Callithrix jacchus: one gene and its partner. The protein of the gene in region 2 interacts with the protein of the main gene of each other region in a pairwise test. Links are inferred from orthologs where the notes say so. Each region holds a gene or a part of one and is shown on either strand. Other genes may lie near its edges. The genes, in order: ASB9 and CKM.

The links.
Region 1: the proteins of CKM (region 2) and ASB9 interact in binary tests that used the Homo sapiens proteins (3 or more experiments, as listed by UniProt). The two-hybrid records come from large-scale screens. The link is inferred for Callithrix jacchus from reciprocal best matches to the Homo sapiens genes CKM and ASB9.

The regions. Positions count from the first base shown.
Region 1 is NC_133524.1:15,539,619-15,543,429, reverse strand, and holds part of ASB9 (ankyrin repeat and SOCS box protein 9), read left to right. Parts: intron 1-1,572; coding exon 1,573-1,764; intron 1,765-2,898; exon of another isoform or gene 2,899-3,811. UniProt on the Homo sapiens protein: Substrate-recognition component of a cullin-5-RING E3 ubiquitin-protein ligase complex (ECS complex, also named CRL5 complex), which mediates the ubiquitination and subsequent proteasomal degradation of target proteins.
Region 2 is NC_133523.1:39,501,828-39,506,126, forward strand, and holds the start of CKM (creatine kinase M-type), read right to left. Parts: upstream 2,945-4,299; 5' UTR 2,891-2,944; intron 1-2,890. UniProt on the Homo sapiens protein: Reversibly catalyzes the transfer of phosphate between ATP and various phosphogens (e.g. creatine phosphate).

The DNA of each region.
Region 1 (3,811 bases), on a different chromosome or scaffold from region 2:
ATGATGCCGCCAATGCCTCTTCTCAGGTGGTTTTCAATGATAATTTTTTTCTTCTCCCTTTCCTCTGTCTCCCTCCATTTGGCCAGTCACATTATTAAGCCCTGCATAACTTGCAAAGTTGTTGGATTAGTGTTGAATAGGTTCCTATTTGGGACCTTCACCAGTTGTCTTTGATTTAGATATTGAACATGCCCCACTTTTAGCCCATTGCAAATACTATGTTTTCCTTGAAAAGGCCTATGTTCCCTTATTTCTTTTCACCTCCCTGCTGCTGTCCAGCCCCCTTCTCAATACCATTTCACCACCTCTCTAATTATCTGAGTCCTATTTACTCTTTAAGACTCTAGTAATCTCTTTTCCAGTGAATGTTGTTATAGTCCTTATTGCCTCCTACTCATTTGGCAGGCATTGCTATGAATTAAGAGATGCATTCTCTCTCCCACCTCCCACCACACCCTCCACCATTCTGGGTGGATTTTAAGCCTGTAGCCTGGAAAGGGCCATGTTTGACATTCCACACAGTTAAGAACAATACAAGACCAGATCAGTTAACATTTGTTGAATGGACATAGATTTTCATTTTACCAGACAGATGGCAGCTCAGGCAAAGCCACATGTTCGCACATATCACAGTGAGCGCCAGCATCTGGGCTGGGGTAGAGATTTGTTAAGAGTGTAGGAGTGGGCCAGGAGTAGTCGCTCACGCCTGTAATCCCAGCACTTTGGGAGGCTGAGGCAGGTGGATCACGAGGTCAAGAGATCGAGACCATCCTGGTCAACATGGTGAAACCCCGTCTCAACTAAAAATACAAAAAATTAGCTGGGCATGGTGGCGCGTGCCTGTAATCCCAGCTACTCAGGAGGCTGAGGCAGGAAAATTGCCTGAACCCAGGAGGCGGAGGTTGCGGTGAGCCGAGATCGCGCCATTGCACTCCAGCCTGGGTAATGAGCGAAACTCCGTCTCAAAAAAAAAAAAAAAAAAAAGAATGTAGGAGTGGAATTGGGTGGGGACAGTCCTAGAAATCTGCCTTACTCCTCAAGGGGAGAACTTTGCCACCTTCCCCGTGATCTCGGGATGGATTGGTCAGTCCAATGCAGGGGATAACCCCATGAGTTGGTTGCTTTACAAAGTCCAAATCACCCAAGCACCATGTTTTACACCCTGTGGCAGCTGCACACACCAGGTGAGTTTGGCTGCTTGTTGTATGCTGGATTTCACCATCTAGCGTCACCCCCAGGCTCTACTGGCTAATACTTAGGTTCCATTAATAATGACGTGCAGCTTTTCTGTCACTGGGATTTTTCTTAGATGTATCATGCCTATGTACAGTGCTGAAAGGCAGATTTTTAACTTCATATGCTATATAGCTCATGCTGTACATTCAATGACATTATTAGATGGGATTTTCTCCACATTATGAAATGGAATCAAAGCATCTCCCATTTTCCCAGAATTGCTGTGCTCAATATGGATCCCCTCTTGTTAGGGAATTTTGGGGCTTATTGCTTTGAAAGGAGGATGGTTGGATTCTGCTCCTTGCTGACTTTTTTTTTGTTCTTGTGACTATTTAGGTGCAGACGTGAACCAAGGCAAAGGTCATGATTCCCCACTTCATGCAGTGGCAGAGACGGTCAATGAAGAGCTAGCTTGCCTACTCATGGATTTTGGAGCAGACACCCAGGCCAAGAATGCTGAAGGCAAACGTCCTGTGGACCTGGTGCCTCCAGAGAGCCCTTTGTGCCAGGTCTTCCTGGAGAGAGAAGGTGCTTCATTGCCAAAATCTAAGCCCTAATTGTAGACACCCCTTCAGGCTTTAGTAAGAGGCAGGTATTTAGCAATTTCTGACTTCCAGTCCTGTAAAAAGACCATTCTCTGCCATCCCCAAATATGTGGAAGTTGAGATGATTCAATATTCAGTGAGGTGTACAGTACTGGTTACAGTACAGTAAATAACTATCCTGCTGTTTAGCATATTGGATATAGGTTTCTGAGATGATGTAATATTCATATATGGTGTAGGCCAGGTTTTTAAAAATTAAGGTATTATTTTAAAATTTTAGTATTACATGTATTTAAAAGATCCTTTAGAATGAGGTAGCAGAGGCCTCTTGGGGGTATGAGGCCCCAGGATATCTTACTGTACCACAGATGGGCCAGACTACTGGATACTTGGTTTCTGGGCTTAAAATGCAGCTCTTTGAGAATTTAGGGTTCACACCAATCCAAGGACATTTACTATGATAAGTTAACCAGCAATAAGTCCACACCTCTATAAGTAAGGAATGACACTCCCAACCCAAACAATGAAATACTGTGGTTGAGCAGTGTGTATGGGAGTAGGGCTTTGAGGCCTGGGTAGGGTTGGTGAACAAAGACAGCTCAAGTTGGGGAGTCACCCTGTTCCAATCTTCATGGGCTTGGAGGCAGGTGAGCAACCAGCTCAGTACTTCTTTTCTTACCAGAGTGTGGACTGTAAAGTCTTAGGGATTCTGGGACTTTGAAGCAGGCCTTCCTACCAAAAGGATTCTGATATCATACAGTCTAGTTCTTTTCTCCCCACATGGTAAGAAGTAGGGTTGGCTTTGGGCAGATCTGTAAAGTGTGCCTAGGAGTCCTCTTTCCTCCACCTCTCACTGCCCCAGGGTACTTGCAGTCAAGTCCCTGCCTTGGAGTATGGGACTATGCTCCTGCAGGCATTTGCAGGCCTATGCTCCTGAGCAGTGCTGGTCAGGCAAAAGACTGACTCCAGGTATAAGGAATAGTCCACTAGAGGCTCCTTTCAGTTAAGCAGTGGGATAATCACTGAGCACTTCTATCTGCATCTTAATAATCACTTGTTTTAACAAAGTTTTATGTCTACAAGGCCCATAATTATATCTTTTTTTTTTTTGAGACAGAGTCTTAATGTGTTTCCAGGCTGGAGTGCAATGGCATGATCTCAGCTCACGGTAATCTTTGCATCCCAGATTCAAGTGATTCTCCTGCCTCGGCTTCCCGAGTAGCTGGGACTTCAGGCACATGCCACCACACCCAGCTAATTTTTGTACTTTCAGTAGAGAGAGGGTTTCACCATGTTGGCCAGGCTGGTCTTGAACTCCTGACCTCGTGATCCACCTGCCTCGGCCTCCGAAAGTGCTGGATTACAGGTGTGAGCCACTGCACCGGGCCAATATATCTTAATTTTTAAAAAATTAGGACAAAAAATGAATAAAACAACATGGATTGGAATCGTCTTTATACCAACATAGTTGCGAAATAGAATTTTTCATTGTTTTAATTGAGAAAGGGATTCACAGAGGCAAAAGTCCCTCAGGTACCCCTCAGTCATAATGTAGGGTATATATTCATGTAGGATGTAGATGTCTCCTCCTCCATCAAGTAACTCCACAGGATTCTCAAATGTCCTTCCCTGGCTTTTCCCTTCTGCTTTGTTTCCCAAAGCCATTCCCAGAGACAGTAATTAATTTTTAATGCATGTTTTGCACGGTGACAATGGGGCCAATGATTCTACTAGTTTATGAGGTGTCATTTGCTGCTGGAGAGAATCACCAGTTGTTTTGCCTCCATGAGTCACTCTTGGGGTTTTGGTACAGTCACCTCTCAGAGGGTTTGGGCACCTACAAGACATGGGGCTAGGCAAGTACAGAAAACTAGACCTGTGGATTGCTCACAGCAGTTTCTGTCCCTGGGTGCCCCTGCAAATTCATTTGCTTCAGTCTACCTGTTTGTTTCCCGGGGAAGGGAATTCATTCAGTTACTGTCCTCTTTCAATGGTATAGCAACAGAATATTGGTAAAACCCAACCATGTT
Region 2 (4,299 bases):
TGGTGTGATCTCGGCTCACTGCAACCTCCGCCTCCTGGGTTCAAGTGATTCTTGTTATTTATTTATTTAGTTTGAGACGGAGTCTCGCTCTGTCACCAGGCTGGAGTGCAGTGGTGAGATCTCGGCTCACTGCAACCTCCACCTCCTGGGTTCAAGTGATTCTTGTTATTTATTTATTTAGTTTGAGACGGAGTCTCGCTCTGTCACCAGGCTGGAGTGCAGTGGTGAGATCTCGGCTCACTGCAGAGTCTGCTTCCTGGTTCAAGGGATTCTCCTGCCTCAGCCTCCTGAGCAGCTGGGACTACAGGCGTGTGCCACCACGCCTGGCTAATTTTTTGTATTTTTAGTAGAGATGGGGTTTCACCATCTCTACTGGTTGGTCAGGTTGGTCTCAAACTTCTGGGTTCAAGTGATCCACCCACCTCGGCCTCCCACAGTGCTGGGATTACAGGCGTGAGCCACTGCGCCCAGCCTGGCTCACATCTTGCAGATGGCAGCAAGAGAACCAAGTGAGGCGTTGAGGTCAGCCAGGCTGTGTGACCTGGAGCAGGGGAATGTCTCTCTCTGAGCCCCTGCATCTCAGCAGGAAGGCATCTGGAGTCTTAGGTCAGGAGCCCGGCTCTGCCACATCCCAGCCAGGTGAGCCTGAACTAGTCATTCTTGCTGGAGACTCAGTTTCCCCAAGTGGAAAACAGGCCCCACCCCGAGTCTGGAAAAATACCATGTGTGGGTAAAGTGTAGGTTCTGGAACTGGCCCAGGGTTGGATTCCCAGCTCTGCTACCACAACTAGCTGTGTGGCCAGGGGCAAATTGCTTAACCTCTCTGTGCCTCAATTTACTCATCTGGAAAATGAGGATCATAATAGCACTCAGTGCACAGGAGTGTTGAAAGGATTAAATGTGTGAATGGAGATATAGCTCTCAGAACAGTGCCTGGTACACAATAAGCATTATTTCACTTAGCTATTGTTGTTATTATGTTAAGTCTCGCTCTGTCGCCCAGGCTGGAGTGCAGTGGAGAGATCTCAGCTCACTGCAACCTCCACCTCCCAGGTTCAAGCAGTTCTCCTGCTTCAGCCTCCCGAGTAGCTGGCATTACAGGCGTGTGCCATATCCAGCTAGGGTGTGTGTGTGTGTGTGTGTGTGTGTGTGTGTGTGTATGTATTTTTAGTAGAGATGGGGTTTCGCCATGTTGGCCAGGCTGGTCTTGAACTCCTGACCATAAGTGATCCGCCCACTTTGGCCTCCCAAAGTGCTGCGATTATAGGCTTGAGCCACCACACCTGGCCTGTTGTTAGTTTGTGGGAGGACCTGGTGAAAAGGTGGAGGTGAGGGTATTGCTGGGAGTCAGTATGTGAGCAGGTTCTCAGATTACCAATCCAAAGACAAAGGGCTGGGTCTGGGGGGGTGCCGCATGGCTGCCCACACCTCTGTCTGCTGACAGTTCTCCCACAGGGCTCAGCAGGGAAGAGAAGCTCAGCCTCTGGATCATCAGAGCCAGGTTCAAATCCCACCTATGCCATTTCCCTGCTGTGTGACTCCAGGCCAGTCACTAGGCCTCTCTGGAGCTCTGTCTCCTGTGAACTGAGCCTGCCCCATAGGATTTCCAGGATCCTCTGAGCTTGGCCATGGGATTGGCTGAGCACAGGCCCTGACATGGAGTTGGAGCCTGGAACCCTGGTGGCTGCTATTATTGTTATTATTACTTTTTTTTGTAGTGGTGGGGTCTCACTATATTGCCCAGGCTGGTCCGGGACTCCTGGCCTCAAGGGGTCCTCCTGTCTTGGCCTCCCAAAATGCTGGGATTATATGTGTGAGCCACTGCGCCCAGTCCTATTGTTATTATTATTTTATTCACTGGACCCAGAAAGGAGAAAGGACCTCCAGCAGGGGTAGGAGAGGGGGATGGGAAGCAGGTGGGACTGGAGGAGGGCAGTTGGGACCACGGTGAGCTAAGGGCTGGAAGGGGAGCAGGGACCCGCCAAAGACCTTGGGCGCTGCTGTCCAGGGTGGTTATTTTTAGGATCTGGCAGCAGCCTGCCGCCCCACCCCCAGCTGCTGCCCGGCCCCACCCCCACATTCCGGGGCTCGGCTTGCACCAAGTCAGCAGGCCCTGAAACAGGTGGGCCAGGGTGGCTGGGGGGACATGAGTCCAGGCCCTGGGGCTCAAGGACATCCCAGGCTGGCAGCCCAGACCCCTGCCCTTCAGAGGATGCTCCCCCAATCCCTGCCAGGGACACCCCAAGAGCGGGCACTGAGGCAAGGTTGGTGACCCCCCCAAGAGACACAAGCAGAAAGCCCCAGAGCCATGAACCCCCACCACAGTACACTCCCCAGATCACACTGTAAACCAAGTCACACAGTCACACTTCCAAGCTTAGAGACATGCCCAAGATAGAGGCACTCCTGTGTGAGCTACCAAGTCAGATGCAAGGTCACAGGGACCCACACGGCAGCAATCGAAAAGACACCCGAAACACCTGCCGTTGCAGACTCTGCCGGGCGACACACAGACACACCTCCCACGGCTGGTGGCGCCAGTGCTGGTGACAAACTGTAATCAACACGGGCCTGGCTCAATAGCCCCTTGCAGGGGGTGACAGTTGGCAGCTGTCAAGACCCCTGTCATCTCTGGGATCCCTCCCCATAACCCAAGACTTGTGCTGAAGAAATGACAAATCCCAGCGGGGGGTTCAGGCGGCCTCACAGATGGAGGGGACTCCCAGACACAGAGGTCAGCCTTCCCACGCACCAGCCTGCCTTTGTAAAGGAGGGTGTTGGTGGGGCAGGGGGTGGCCCACAGGCCCCTTCCCGAGCTGAGACAGCCTCTGGCACCCACAGAGACTCCCCCTCTCTGGCCCCCACCCAGATTCCTGTCCCCATGCAGTACCTGGCTGGGCTGGGCTGAAGGGGGCTCTCTGTATCCTGGAGGTGACACTAACCCAAAGGAAGGGCCTGCAGCCATGGCCTTATATAGGGGGACCTAGGCTGTGCTATTGGCTGGGAGGGACTGTCCCCAGGGAGGAGTCCTGGAGGGCAGCTGAGCCTCTCACCTCCCTGCTTGGGCACCATGCCCACCCCGAACCCAGGCATGCCTTGCGCCCAGCCCCGTGGCCTTGTATGGGCTAAGCTGCCCCAGGGGCTGGACCCAAGCCCCCCCACCAAACTGATTCCCTGACCAAGTGCTGAGTCGGGCTGGCGGTGGGGACAACTGGCCCCCCGCCGGGAACACGGGACAGTGGCTGGGAACATCCCAAGCACGTAGAAGCCACCCTCCCCTGGCCCCTGAGTCTCCTCCAGCCGCCAGCCCCTCCTGTGTGTGCCCCTGGGCCCTCACCCCTAGCCCAGTCCCAGCGGCACCTTGGGGAACCATGCCGTGGCTCCAGGAGGACCAGGTGCCCTGGGAGCAGGAGGAAGCAAAGGCCAGGAGAGGCTGTGTGGCCGCCTGCTGCCACCACCCACAGGGAGGGTCCAGGCAAGCCCAGTTGCAGGAGAGGGCAATCTAACCCCAGAAACCTGCGCTTGGACGCCCCTTCCTTCTAGGGACTGAGCGGAGGGTAAACTGAGGCTGGCCGAGTTGGGGAGATTCAAACTCAGGGCTGGGGTGGGAGACGGTGGTCACCCTCCCCCTGCTTAACCCTTGCCCCCTCGGTGCCACTGGGAAATCTCTGCTGCGCGGGGGACAGGGAGGGTCTCAGCCGCCAGGAAAGGAGTTATTTTTAGAGGGCGCTTTGCTGTCTCCTCCTCTGCGAAGGCGCTGGGTTTGGGGTGGCTCGGGGGCAGGTGTTGGAGGGGGGATCGCCACGTGTCCTGGTTAATTATAACCGGGCGTCTCGGGTGTCCCCGGGCCTCGCCTCCTTACAAGGGCAGCCACGGGGCCCTGAGTGGCAGCTCCCCGCCCCCCCGGGAAGGGGGCTGGGCAGCGACGCGGTTTAGAGCGCGGGCGCTAGACTCGCACTCGCGCGGATCTGGCATGGCAAGCGCTCTCCGTGCCTCGGCTGTGACCAAGGACTTCAAGGGCTGAGAAGGGGGTTCTGTGGAAGAGGGTACCGCATAGAGGAAGCCGCTTTCTTCTGAGGCGCGCCAAGATTGCAGGCTGATCGGGTCTCCTCCTCCAGGGAGCTCCCAGGATTGCGAGGAAGAAAAGAATGTCCCTTCCCTCTGGGTTCCTCCCTCAGCCAGGGTTTCCTGGGTCTCCAGTCCTCACCTCATACCTTCCCAGGCACATGAGGACTGGCTTAGAGAAAGGGAGCCTCTCTGCCTCTCCCACAGACGCCTGATCTGAGTGGGGCAGGGGAG